Linked DNA regions of Arabidopsis thaliana. The protein of the gene in region 2 purifies or fractionates together with the protein of the main gene of each other region. This does not show direct contact. Each region holds a gene or a part of one and is shown on either strand. Other genes may lie near its edges.

The links. Proteins that work in one complex are often made in the same cells at the same time.
Region 1: the proteins of GME (region 2) and SIRANBP fractionate together in Arabidopsis thaliana (co-fractionation; one large-scale study listed by BioGRID). This does not show direct contact.
Region 3: the proteins of GME (region 2) and RANBP1 fractionate together in Arabidopsis thaliana (co-fractionation; one large-scale study listed by BioGRID). This does not show direct contact.

What each region holds. Positions count from the first base shown.
Region 1 is NC_003070.9:2,191,179-2,195,709, reverse strand, and holds SIRANBP (Pleckstrin homology (PH) domain superfamily protein), read left to right. Parts: upstream 1-1,873; 5' UTR 1,874-2,021; coding exon 2,022-2,176; intron 2,177-2,296; coding exon 2,297-2,448; intron 2,449-2,554; coding exon 2,555-2,680; intron 2,681-3,096; coding exon 3,097-3,350; 3' UTR 3,351-4,031; downstream 4,032-4,531. Other genes in the region: MAPKKK13 (mitogen-activated protein kinase kinase kinase 13), read left to right, coding at 1-1,431.
Region 2 is NC_003076.8:10,861,463-10,866,653, reverse strand, and holds GME (GDP-D-mannose 3',5'-epimerase), read left to right. Parts: upstream 1-1,707; 5' UTR 1,708-1,928; intron 1,929-2,609; exon of another isoform or gene 2,610-2,628; 5' UTR 2,629-2,629; coding exon 2,630-3,039; intron 3,040-3,125; coding exon 3,126-3,222; intron 3,223-3,299; coding exon 3,300-3,429; intron 3,430-3,515; coding exon 3,516-3,648; intron 3,649-3,726; coding exon 3,727-3,934; intron 3,935-4,026; coding exon 4,027-4,182; 3' UTR 4,183-4,638; downstream 4,639-5,191. UniProt on the Arabidopsis thaliana protein: Catalyzes a reversible epimerization of GDP-D-mannose that precedes the committed step in the biosynthesis of vitamin C (L-ascorbate), resulting in the hydrolysis of the highly energetic glycosyl-pyrophosphoryl linkage.
Region 3 is NC_003076.8:23,679,563-23,683,926, reverse strand, and holds RANBP1 (RAN binding protein 1), read left to right. Parts: upstream 1-1,991; 5' UTR 1,992-2,212; coding exon 2,213-2,364; intron 2,365-2,493; coding exon 2,494-2,645; intron 2,646-2,732; coding exon 2,733-2,858; intron 2,859-3,378; coding exon 3,379-3,608; 3' UTR 3,609-3,864; downstream 3,865-4,364.

The sequences.
Region 1 (4,531 bases), on a different chromosome or scaffold from region 2:
GTTCGTGGTGCGTGTATCGGCAGAGGTTGTTTCGGTGCAGTTAGTACGGCGATCAGCAAAACCAACGGTGAAGTTTTCGCCGTGAAATCCGTGGATCTCGCCACGAGTCTCCCCACTCAATCAGAGTCTCTCGAGAACGAAATATCTGTCTTCCGCTCGCTAAAGCCTCACCCTTACATCGTGAAGTTTCTCGGCGACGGAGTCTCGAAAGAAGGAACGACGACGTTTAGGAATCTCTACTTAGAGTATCTCCCAAACGGTGACGTGGCTAGTCACAGAGCCGGAGGAAAAATCGAAGACGAGACTCTGCTCCAGCGTTACACGGCGTGTCTTGTCTCTGCTCTCCGCCACGTACACTCTCAAGGATTCGTTCACTGCGACGTCAAGGCGAGGAACATCCTCGTCAGCCAAAGCTCCATGGTCAAGTTAGCCGATTTTGGGTCGGCGTTCAGAATCCACACACCGAGGGCTCTGATCACGCCACGTGGAAGTCCGCTTTGGATGGCTCCGGAGGTGATCAGACGAGAGTACCAAGGTCCGGAGAGTGACGTCTGGTCTCTCGGCTGCACGATCATCGAGATGTTCACTGGGAAACCCGCTTGGGAAGACCACGGAATTGACTCGCTGAGTCGAATCAGTTTCTCTGACGAGTTACCGGTTTTCCCCTCGAAGTTGTCGGAAATCGGCCGTGATTTCCTAGAAAAGTGTCTGAAGCGAGACCCGAATCAGAGGTGGAGTTGCGATCAGCTTTTGCAGCATCCATTTCTCTCTCAGTGTCACAACTCATCTCCGACTGAGTCATCTCCGCGTTGCGTACTTGACTGGGTCAACTCGGGGTTTGACTTAGAAGAAGAAGAAGAGGAAGTAGGGAGATCAGAATTCGAAGACGCGGCGAAGGCAATAATTTGTAATTTGGCGACGACCGGAGGAGTAATTTGGGAGTCAGATGGTTGGGTGGAAGTTAGATGCCACGCTTCGGAAGAGGAAGGGACAACAATGGAATATTCGGGATCCACAAGGGTAGAATCGGAATATAACACATCATCGGATCCAAACGATGACGTGGCTGGTGACTCGGCGATAATTGACGTTTCTATGTCTCAGAATTTACCGCCTGGAAACGGGGGATCGGCGGCGGCGCTGCCATATGAATTTGTGGTGGTTTTACATTTATTAATGGAAATTATGGTTTATACTACATGTATCTTTAGGGAAATTGTTCTCACTATGTATTTGTTGTATCAGTATAATCAAAGCAATAAACTCGAAACGTTGTCTTTTAATCACAGCCTCAAGTTTTGTTTGTTTGCACATGTGATTCGGATCGGACAAAACTATCTTTTACGCGGTGAGATGAGATCGAGTGTCTTAATTACGAGCCATTGCCTTATATTGATAACTCTCGTTTACAGCCAAATAGTTGTATTTTAATGTGAAAAAATATTGCGACAAATGGTTTTGGTTCGTAAGCTGGTGGAAGACTCAAGAGGCCAAAAGAGACTTTGGTTTTATGCTTTAGAAGACTTTTGATTCATCCTAATAAGTATTCGGATTTTGGAGCATTTAAATGAATCATAGAGGGAACCGGACCGGTTGAAGATGGTTGTTTGTTTCGACTAGGCCTGAAGGACCAAGGTTATGCATGTACGATTATGTATCAAACTGAACGAAGTCGTTACATAGAGTTTAGCTCAAGCATATCATCATATTCTTTTTTCGATCTTTAAGATTTTTCTCTAATCTCTATGCTATAAATCATTAAGATTTCTCTAAAAAAGGATTAATTTCCCTTGAGATAAATAGCTTTAAAAATAACCCAGATACAATGGGTTTATATGGGCCATATATATTTTTTGTCATAAGAAATCGGCCCATAGTTAGCTTCAATTCAACGCCGTATAACTATGAGTCGTTCCGATTTCCTGTGTTGCGAAACCCCCAAATTCTCTTCTCTCTATCTCTCTCGCGTACGCCGCACCGTAGCGACCAATTGAATCCACGAGGAAATCTCAGTAAATACTATGGCGACCAACGAACCCGAGCACGAGCACAGAGACGAGGAAGAGGCCGGAGCTAACGAGGATGAGGACACCGGAGCTCAGGTCGCTCCGATCGTTAGGCTTGAGGAGGTTGCCGTCACTACCGGCGAGGAAGACGAAGATGCCGTCCTTGATCTGTAAGTGTTTTTCTTAATTGGTGTTTATAGTTTTTCTGATCTAGGTCAACTGGATCTGATCGAATTTATAAGGTTTAGCTTTTGGTGTGTTTGACTGAATTTTTGTTTGTGAATCTAAAGGAAATCGAAGCTTTATCGATTCGATAAGGATGCGAATCAGTGGAAGGAGAGAGGAGCTGGTACTGTGAAGTTCTTAAAGCATAAGAACACTGGGAAGATTCGTCTCGTTATGAGGCAATCTAAAACTTTGAAGATCTGTGCTAATCACTTCGGTATAATTTCTATTTGGACTACTTTGTGTTGTTTTTGAGTTGCATCTGGATCTGTATTTAGGTTACTGTTTCCTTATCTAGTCTTATGCTTCTGATATTTCTGCAGTTAAATCGGGCATGAGTGTTCAGGAACACGTTGGGAATGAAAAGTCATGTGTGTGGCACGCTCGTGACTTTGCTGATGGTGAACTCAAGGATGAGCTTTTCTGTATCCGATTTGCTTCTATTGAGAGTGAGTATGAAACCGAATTTTGTAATGGCTTGTGTTTTGCCTTATTTAGTCTCAGTTGGTTTGATAGATTCACGGATTAGATTACTGATGGATCTTGACCTTAGCATTGCTATATGGCTACTTTGTTAATTGGAGGTTCTCAAAGCTTCCATCATAGGCATGCGTTATTGGGTTCAGGAAATATCAAAATAAGTACTGTGGCGGTTAGGTTGTGGTATTGCATTGTAAAGAGATAATATTGTTCTTGAGGTGGTCAAGTATGTATTTAGGCTGCAACTAATTTGATATGCCAACATGGTCGACTGTTTCTTTTTTTATTTTGGGTAAATATTATCAGTAGTTTCTGAGCTGTTGATCATATTAACCGGGAAAAGTAGAGATGCTTGTGGGTAATCAAATCTTATTTTCCTTGTCAGATTGCAAAACATTTATGCAAAAGTTCAAGGAAGTTGCTGAGTCTGAAGAAGAGAAAGAAGAGAGCAAAGATGCCGCTGACACTGCTGGCCTTCTTGAGAAATTGACTGTGGAAGAGACAAAAACGGAGGAGAAAACCGAAGCGAAAGCTGTGGAGACGGCAAAGACTGAAGTGAAAGCAGAAGAAAAGAAAGAGAGCGAGGCAGAGAAATCTGGTGAAGCAAAGAAAACAGAAGAAAGTGGTCCCTCAACATAAGAAGCGTCATCATTTAAGTTGCCAAATCCTGGCGAGGTAATTAAGCCTCGAAATGTTTTGATGCATCATGAGTCTACCATTGTCTTGGCACTATCTATCTATACATGTTTTGTCGAGTCATATCAAGTGGTTGGGGGATCGCTTGGGGTCGGGTTTTACTGAATGCTGAGTCGTTATGGGTCTAATAGTTTTTGAGTCTAAAGTGTCGGGTGATATGAGAGATTTGGGTGAAATATTTTTTCATGTTGGTTATCTGAAAGAGTACATTGGTTTCATTGTTTTAAGTTTTCTCATGGATCCTTTTTGGATGGTCTTATTTTGAGGATACAAATGTGTTTGTCCATGGACAAGAATCAGAAGTCTCCATTTTTTTTTTTTCAAAATTTAATGCATGTGATTTTTTAATCTTAAGGTAATTGCCAATTGTTTGACAAAAAAAAGGTAATTGCCAATCTACTTTGCTCTCTTGTGTTAGTCGATGCTAGTCTTGACCCTGATAAAGATCCAAAATGTATATTAACAGTATTCATAAAATTCTTCAGTTATAACGAACTGTTCACGGAAAAAAAATGACATTGTACTATACTGTGCTAAAATTACCAAAGCATGATTTATATAAATCATATCCAGTAAGACCATATGTGAATGAATAACAATGGATTATGCTTAGGTTAAGATTTTATTAAATTTATAACACTTTTAAAATAAATTTGGAATAATACAAACATATAAACCATTCCTATAACACCATATTTAAACATAACAATGAATTGCTTGGATTTCAAACTTTATTAAATTTGGATTTTAAATTTTAATTTGATTGAATTATACCCCCTTAATTGGATAAATTCAAATATGTCAACTTTTTTTTTTTGTAAGATTTTTTTATGGAAAAAAAAATTGATTATTCACTAAAAAGATGACAGGTTACTTATAATTTAATATATGTAAACCCTAAAAAGAAGAAAATAGTTTCTGTTTTCACTTTAGGTCTTATTATCTAAACTTCTTTAAGAAAATCGCAATAAATTGGTTTGAGTTCTAACTTTAAACACATTAATATTTGTGTGCTATTTAAAAAATAATTTACAAAAAAAAAAACAAATTGACAGAAAATATCAGGTTTTGTAATAAGATATTTCCTGATAAATATTTAGGGAATATAACATATCAAAAGATTC
Region 2 (5,191 bases):
TGTTTTCATGTTTTAATTTATGGTATGTTTACAAATTTTAACAAAGCATATGTTAATCCCCAAAAGTTACAGCTGTATCTGGTATTGTGTTTAAAGATAAGTAAAAATGAACTCGGAACATGATATTTAATGTAATATAACGAGAATAGGAATGACGAAAAAGGAACGACATAGAAGGAGCCAACACGGGATAAAAACATAGCTTTTAGATTACAACAAGTTACAATTTAAGCAAATTAACGTTTGCAATCAAATATGTAACATGTGTTTTCAATTTATACAGCATAAAAATGCTCAAAATAATAAATGTTATTATAGTATGCTTTATAATAGTTAAAATTTAAAAATAAACAAATGTAATTTAATATTTATGAACAAAATATTAAACAATAAGAAGAAAGAAGTCAATTAATTTTGTAATATTTTTATTATATCATATCATATAAAAATATACATGAATTATATTTGTGTTTGTCCCAAACAGGATATAGAGAATTTTTGCTTCCATCACGTTCTGTTTCTAATCGGAATACAAATTTTTTCTCATATTAGAAATGCATTCTCTTATGAGAAATAAATTGGAGAACGAGTAAGATATAATGGAACATGATAAAATTGAATGAGAATTACGCCTATCTCTAAATATTTATATTTCTCGCAAACGTATTTAATCATTTTAATGGTTTTATATACGGTTTGATAGTTTACAAGTTTAATAAAAATCTACCTGACCATTAACTCGAATCAGTTTGATCTCGGTTCGACCGTTTGATTGTTATGAACTTTAAAATACTACTAAAATCATTATTATTTCAAATATTTCAACCAACTAATATAGTTTAGGTTATATATATACTATAACTATATAAATAATTTTTAACATCAATCTAACTTATATTATATTTTAATTTAAGATTTTTTTTTCTAATTTACTCTTCAGTTTCAAACTCCAAAAATGGACTTATGGTTGCTCTTATGTCATAAACAAACATAAATAATATTTTATATTTTTATGTGTACATTATAATTATTCAATACAGTATATATCACTAAAATAACAAAATAATTATATATTTAATAAAAATTTATTACAACACATTTCTTAATATATGAAGATGTACTATTATTTGCAAATACAAAATATGTTAAATAGTGTTTTAGTTAATTAGAAAATAACAAAAATTAAAGTAATTTTTCTCAAAATAATAATTATTTAAAGATTAATTGCTTAATTATTTGAATTTTATAAGAATTTCCTTTTAATGTGTATTATATATATGTATGAATAAGACTAATTGAAAAATCTGTAATAATCTAGTAAAATTTGGACAATTATTTAAATGGATTAGAATCACAACATGACGGTTTCGTTAATAACACGCCAATATAAATATTTTATTAAAAAAACTTCTCAATTAATATATAGAATATACATATATTTATTATTTACAAATATTTTTATATATTGAAGCTAGAAAATAAAAAAATTATGAAATTGTTTGGTGCACCAATAAAGAAAATATTTAGTTTTTTTTTTTTTCTAAACTAAAACATTTCTTATTATCTATCTAAATACGATTCAACAAATAGTAAAAATAATATGCATAATATAAATCATCAAACCTAATAAAAAGTAATAAATCTTCTATAAAATCTCCTATTTTCTAAAAAACTCTCTACAAAAGAAGTATTAATTTTTTTTTTCGAAGGATTTTATTAGTTATAAAATAAATTTAACAGAAAGAGGCACAAATACCAATAGGAGTTGGAAAACTAAAACAACGAGTGGTGTTGCTCTCTCCATCTTCCTCTTCATCTTCTTCTGTTCTCTCTCTATAAATACAAGTTTACTCTTCCTCTTCCTCAAATCTCTGACTCTTCTCTGCATTATCTCTTCGATCTCTCCAACTCTCCAAAACCTTCCTCAGGTAAAAGATCCAATCTTCCTTACAATTCCACTAATCTAGGGTTTTAAAATCCCAGATTCCTGAATCAAAACTTCTCTGAGATCCGAATTTCGCAATTCTGTGTTTTTGGCTAATTTACGCCTCGCAATTTTGTGTTTTTCGCTAACTTACGCCGAATCCAATGCATCCTCTGTCAAAACTCTCTAAATCCCAAATCTTTTTACAGAAATTTATCACAAATTAGGATTCCACAGTGATTTCTAGCTTTCGCATGAGAGATCTTATTGTGTTTAACATATTTCTTTGCAATTTTGTGTGTTTTTGGCTAACTTAAGCGTCGCAATTTTGTGTGTTTTCACTAACTTACACCGAATCCAATGCATTCTCTGTCAAAACTCTCTAAATCCCAAATCTTTTTACAGAAATTAATCACAAATTAGGATTCTACAGTGATTTCTAGCTTTTGCATGAGAGATCTTATTGTGTTTAACAGATTTGTTTTGCAATTTTGTGTGTTTTTGGCTAACTTACGCCTCGCAGTTTTGTGTTTTTCGCTAACTTACGCCGGAATCCAATGCATCAATAATCTTACCTCTGTCAAAACTCTCTAAATCCCAAATCTTTTTTATAGAAATTTATCACAAATTAGGACTCTACAGTGATGTCTAGCTTTTGCATGAGAGATCTTATTGTTTTTAACAGATTTGTTTTGTTAATGTAGAATGGGAACTACCAATGGAACAGACTATGGAGCATACACATACAAGGAGCTAGAAAGAGAGCAATATTGGCCATCTGAGAATCTCAAGATATCAATAACAGGAGCTGGAGGTTTCATTGCATCTCACATTGCTCGTCGTTTGAAGCACGAAGGTCATTACGTGATTGCTTCTGACTGGAAAAAGAATGAACACATGACTGAAGACATGTTCTGTGATGAGTTCCATCTTGTTGATCTTAGGGTTATGGAGAATTGTCTCAAAGTTACTGAAGGAGTTGATCATGTTTTTAACTTAGCTGCTGATATGGGTGGTATGGGTTTTATCCAGAGTAATCACTCTGTGATTATGTATAATAATACTATGATTAGTTTCAATATGATTGAGGCTGCTAGGATCAATGGGATTAAGAGGTTAGTTAGATTTTGTTTTCTTCGGTTTTCGCAGTTTACGGTTTCTTAAAACAAGTTAAAAAGATTGGATTTTTTGTTTGCTTTAGGTTCTTTTATGCTTCGAGTGCTTGTATCTATCCAGAGTTTAAGCAGTTGGAGACTACTAATGTGAGCTTGAAGGAGTCAGATGCTTGGCCTGCAGAGGTTTGTGATTATTTTTTATATGTTCTTGCTAAAGATTTATGAGTCTTTTCTTATGTGATGTTTTGATGCTGATATAGCCTCAAGATGCTTATGGTTTGGAGAAGCTTGCTACGGAGGAGTTGTGTAAGCATTACAACAAAGATTTTGGTATTGAGTGTCGAATTGGAAGGTTCCATAACATTTATGGTCCTTTTGGAACATGGAAAGGTAGTATACAGATAAACAGTTTCCGTACTTTGTGTGAATGATTAGTTGTTTACTATTGGGATTAATATTTGCTTGGATCAACTTAGGTGGAAGGGAGAAGGCTCCAGCTGCTTTCTGTAGGAAGGCTCAGACTTCCACTGATAGGTTTGAGATGTGGGGAGATGGGCTTCAGACCCGTTCTTTTACCTTTATCGATGAGTGTGTTGAAGGTGTACTCAGGTGAGGGTATCTCCTGATGTTGATGAAGTTGTATGTTAGACGTAATTGGCTGATATTTTCGTCATTTTTGTTTTATAGGTTGACAAAATCAGATTTCCGTGAGCCGGTGAACATCGGAAGCGATGAGATGGTGAGCATGAATGAGATGGCTGAGATGGTTCTCAGCTTTGAGGAAAAGAAGCTTCCAATTCACCACATTCCTGGCCCGGAAGGTGTTCGTGGTCGTAACTCAGACAACAATCTGATCAAAGAAAAGCTTGGTTGGGCTCCTAATATGAGATTGAAGGTACCAACATTATTTACTTAAGTAGCTCAAAGACAAGATAATAATCTAATTCTTTTATTACTGATATTGTTTTGACCATAATCGTTAAACAGGAGGGGCTTAGAATAACCTACTTCTGGATAAAGGAACAGATCGAGAAAGAGAAAGCAAAGGGAAGCGATGTGTCGCTTTACGGGTCATCAAAGGTGGTTGGAACTCAAGCACCGGTTCAGCTAGGCTCACTCCGCGCGGCTGATGGAAAAGAGTGAAGTTCACCAAAGTATAAGTCAAGCTCAAATATGGCCTTTTAAGTTCAGCAAAATGTTTAGATATATTTTTAGGTAGCTTCCTATTAAAAAAGCAATAATAAGTGTTTTGGATTTTGGTTCCTTCTATTCTGCTAATCCTTGTTTATGTTTAGTTGAAAAAGTTTGCTTGCATTGTTAAGTCTGTTATCATATTATTGTGGTCCTTTCATTCACAGTATGTATGTTTATCATCATAGTCAAGTTGATGTCGTGGTCCTCTCACGGACCAGTACAAGTAAGTGGCTTGTGTTTTTTCTTGCATCTTATCATCTATTCACACATCTCTAGAGGTTAGGGATCACTCACGGTGACTCACCATTCTTTCTCTTCCATCCACTTCTTTATCCCATTCCTCGGTCAAAAATGTCACACGTAATAAATCATAAGGTTTTAAGTTTATATATTGCTTTTTTTATGCAACTCTCCCGATCAGCAAAATATCTAAAATTTGAGATTTTTATCCATGTTCTAAGATTTGGTCTTAGACTCGAGATGATCCGAAAAATAACGTATTTACTATTTTAAATTTTGAATATACATTTTATCAAAAAACAAATATGAGATAAGGACGATATTATTATAACATAACATATAATGTTTTTTTATTATTTTAAATAATATCAAAGGAAATAAAGCTTAAACTTAATCCAAAACTAAGAAAAAAACCACTAAATCAAAAGGAAAAGCATAGTAAAATCTCAAAACAATTAAGCAACTTTCGGCTCAATTGTTAGCTTCTTTGAATATATATGTTATCAGTGTTTTTTCAAAAATCTTTGACGTTAGCATCATACTACAAATATTCATTTATGCATCTAAAATAAGACAATCGATATATTTCAAATCATCAACTCAACAATCACCCAATTTTTTGTTGTGGTTTTGCTCTTGCTCTCACTCTTCTTCGTGTCGCTTCTCAAATGAGCCCAAATCACCTTTTATATCATATGCAAAAGCAAATGAAGCATTT
Region 3 (4,364 bases), about 13 Mb from region 2:
TTCCATCAAATTATTCGGTTAGTAATATTTTAACACATTCGAAGAGAGAATCTTAAGATTAATCACGGAATCAGTCAATTGTATAAACTTTTTGAGGAAATTTTCTTTCAAATGAATTATAATTTTTATTCCATGCAAACAAAGCATAGTAACAAGAAATTTAACAATGGCAAGCCCAAAACAAACAGTATTGGGCTTTTAAAAAAATACATTCGATGGGCTTATTGGAAAAAAGCCTTTTAGGGTTTTCTCAAAACCTCTCTACTATAAATAGAGGAAATCCAACTTTAGAGTTTAAGAAGAAGCAATCCAAAATCAATTCACTGAAAAGCTTCGTTTTTAATCCTGTAGTTTTCATAGGGTTTGGTGTTCTCTCTATTGTTGTTATTGGGCTTGCCTTTTGTCTAGGATTATCATGATTTATGTTTATTGAAAGATTGGCTTCATCAGATAGTCTATGTGGATTTGTTCGTTCCCATATGATTCGTTCCCTTGAAGCAAAATCAATCGTGTTGCTTTCGTTATTTATATAATTCTCCCTATGAATCTTCGGTGATTTCGTATTTATACGATTTTTGCTGATGTTGATTTGGGAGAATCACAACTGAGCAGCTATATATTATTCGTATTGAAATCTAGATTTGGGTTTTTGTATAAGTTTTTGGAAGAACAGTGATGAGTCAGTTTACAGACCTGTAATGATTGCGGTAATGATCGCATTATTATGAACATCTAAGGGACTGAGTTCTTCTTTCTAATATGATTTAACAACTTCAATTTGTTTTTGTTGGTTAATGTTTTTTTGTTTAATCTGATAAAGAGGCTGATGAAGATTAGATATTAATGGTTACTGAAATTTCAATAAGTGTGTTGATATACTATCTTCTTGACTAGGACTGCTGAGGCTAATCTTTGAATTCTAAGGAATTATGTTTTCTCTTTTTGATTTAATGAAATTAGATTGTGGATGATGAGAACAAATATGAAAAAACAGTTATCCCTGTCTGAGGATTTTAATCCCTTTGATGATTCATTTGTAATCTGACACAACCTTCCAGTTCATATCGTTTTGGGTTTTGCTTGTTGACTATTTATTTCAGACCCTAAATTATACAAACACGAAGATTTGTCATTGAAACAACGCAGCTTCATTCAAAAACGGATTTTAAAATTGGAAATCAGACAAATGACTAAGCGGGTCCCTTTTGACTTTAGCATCAATATTCAATATTACCGTGCCAGTAATAAGAGTTCTCGAGTCCATGAAATGATGTTGTATCAGTTTTCGTTCAGCATTTCAATAAATTCACGATGTTTTGGTCAAAATATCTTACTACCTATCGACTGTTATCGGACTTCAGGTTCTACTCTTTGAGTCGTCGACAATGAAAACGTTTCTTTTTCCTACTGTAACGAGAAGGCAAACAAGTGGTATTTTGTTACGATAAAAAACAGGTCAAAAAAAAAATTTGTTAATTGAATGTTTAACACGTTTCCAAAATTTATAAATGTTCATATTCAGCTTACATTGTACTAGCATCGGCAGTAGTTGATTGAATACTAGTGTCGAGTGACATCAGCTTGATATCAAAGCATGATTGATTACATTATATAATATCCATTTGTAAATAATCCACCTCTCAAAAAAAAAAAAATTAATAAATAAATAATCCACCTCCGTTCATATATAAAGATTGTCACGGTGGTCTACCTTAACACTACAAAGGCAGTCCACGACTGAGAAAAAAAAAGCAGTTCAAATTTTTTTCGTATGTGTTAAGGATGGAGTACATTCATAGAGCATCATCTACATTCTACTCCAAGATAAATGTGGAGTATCTGTATTACTTTTAGTTTTGTAAAGAGATTATACATAATTTAAATATGGTACATTACTCATTACAGGTCTTTGAGCTGTGGCGTTCCTTAGCCATGATGTTTCATCCTCTATATTGTCGATACGAGTTCACACTTTCTAGCTTCATCTACATACCAAAATCATGAATTGTCGTATAGGGCCTTAATGGGCTTAAATGACCGAGATAATGACCTGTTAGCCCACTAGAGATAATTCAGAAGCCTAACTTTGGATATAAAGTTTAAAAACCCTGGTTCCAGTTTTTTCTTCTGGTTCTCGAAACTTCTTCTCCCAAATTGAACAACCAAAGAAGTTGCAGAGCACACACACACACTTTCAAGTTTCAATACAGAGATGGCGAGCACTGAGCCAGAGCGTGAGAACCGTGAAGATGAAACCGAAGTCAACGAAGATGAAGACACCGGAGCTCAGGTAGCTCCGATCGTTAGGCTTGAAGAGGTTGCAGTCACCACCGGCGAAGAAGATGAAGACGCCGTCCTCGATCTGTATGTTACTCGTTCCGTTAATATTCTAGTTTCCTTGCCTCTGGTTAAAGTGAGTGTTGGATTTTCGATAGAAGATGAGTGTCGGATTTTTGATAGAAGATGTATTCTTCTGGGTTTATGATTTTGTAGGAAATCGAAGATGTATCGATTCGATAAAGAAGGGAACCAATGGAAGGAGAGAGGAGCTGGAACTGTGAAGTTATTGAAGCATAAGGAAACTGGAAAAGTTCGTCTTGTTATGAGACAATCTAAAACCCTAAAGATCTGTGCCAATCACCTCAGTATGTTTGATTCTCTCTCGAAGAAGATCTTTTTTTTTTTTCTTCGAAAGGGCTAAACTTTATGTATCTTTTGTTGAAATTATGCAGTTTCGTCTGGGATGAGTGTTCAGGAACATAGTGGGAATGAAAAGTCTTGTTTATGGCACGCTACTGATTTCTCCGACGGCGAGTTGAAAGATGAGCTTTTCTGCATTCGATTTGCTTCCATTGAGAGTAAGTTTATACTTGTGAAATTCGTATACTTGTTTTTGATTGAGAGTAACGTGGGTACATTTAGTAGTATTCGATGTTTAATTTATGATAGTTGAATCAGGGAAGATGGTTTGGAAGGTATTCTTTATAAGACTCTAGTTGTGATGATTTAAGTCTCCCATGAATTGTGATTCATCAAGTCCATATAGATAGCTCAAGACTGAAATGGAATACTGCTTTTGTAGTGGCAATACTTATAATGTTGCCTCATTTTATAATTTTAGGGAGACATTGTTGTCTTGAGAATAAACATCTCAGGCCATTTTCCAAGACTCTGTTGGTCTCTGCGGTTGTGGGTCTTATCACTAAACAAATGAACAAAAGGGTTCCATGATCCTTAAGTTGTGCTAAACAACTACCATAATCGTATCTATGTTAAATTAGACGCTGACATAATCTATGAGATTAATATCCTAGGGTCTGCATCTGTCTTTTTGGTTTTAGATTCTCGAGTGGCTAACTGATAGTGTTGCATCAACAGATTGCAAAACATTTATGGAGAAGTTCACTGAAATAGCTGAAAGCCAGCAAGTAGGGAAAGAGAGCACCCAGGGCGACGAGGCTGCTGGTTTAATAGAGAATCTTTCGGTTGAGGAAAATATAAGTGAGGAGAAAGCCAAGGAAGCAGAAGAGAAAGAGCCTGCAAAGGAAGATAAAGAAACAAAAAAGGAGAAGGTAGAAGAAGAGAAGAAAACAGAGGCAAGCACTTAAGTGATCAAATTAAAATTGGTTGTTGGCATCACTAAGTGTGCTTTGCTTTATTTTAATATATTATACTTGGCACTGAACATGATGGTAGCTTCAAAAGTTTGAGTCTTTGCGCTGTGTTAGAGAAAGAGAATCTTAAGATTTTTTTTTATGTTGTTGCTGTGTAAGTGTTTGACTATTGTGTCGTCTCTTTACTGTGTCAATTTGGTTTAAGATAATAGTATTCGGCATCAAATTAGTATCCTTGCTTTCATCTTCAATCATCCGAAATGGATTTGTGGCCAGCAGGTTACACAATCTGTAATTGACATGTTTGGTGTTGCAGCAAAGGGAACAATCATGTGGTGCTTCTAAGAAGTAAAAACTAGTTAGTTAATTTTGGACCCAACAAATTTGTATGGACCCTAAACCTATAATTCGAAAGGCTCCACCACAAATAACACCATGTTTTAAGCACTTCTCTATCTCTCTTTCACCATTTAATTTCCTCTGACCATGAGCTGTTCCTGCATTGAATATCAGATTTTATCTTTTATGCCTCATTTCTAAGTACCCTTGTATGTGTTTTTCTAAACGTTTATCTTCACAATAGCACTAGTAAGTGGATGTATGATAATTGATACTTTGATGTATGTGCCAACTATTTCTTACATACAATTGTACATTGTAGGCTACAATTTGTAGCACAACTATATTATTACTATTTACTAGAAATGGCGAAAAAAACAAACAATACCGAACATCAAAGTCGAAACTAAA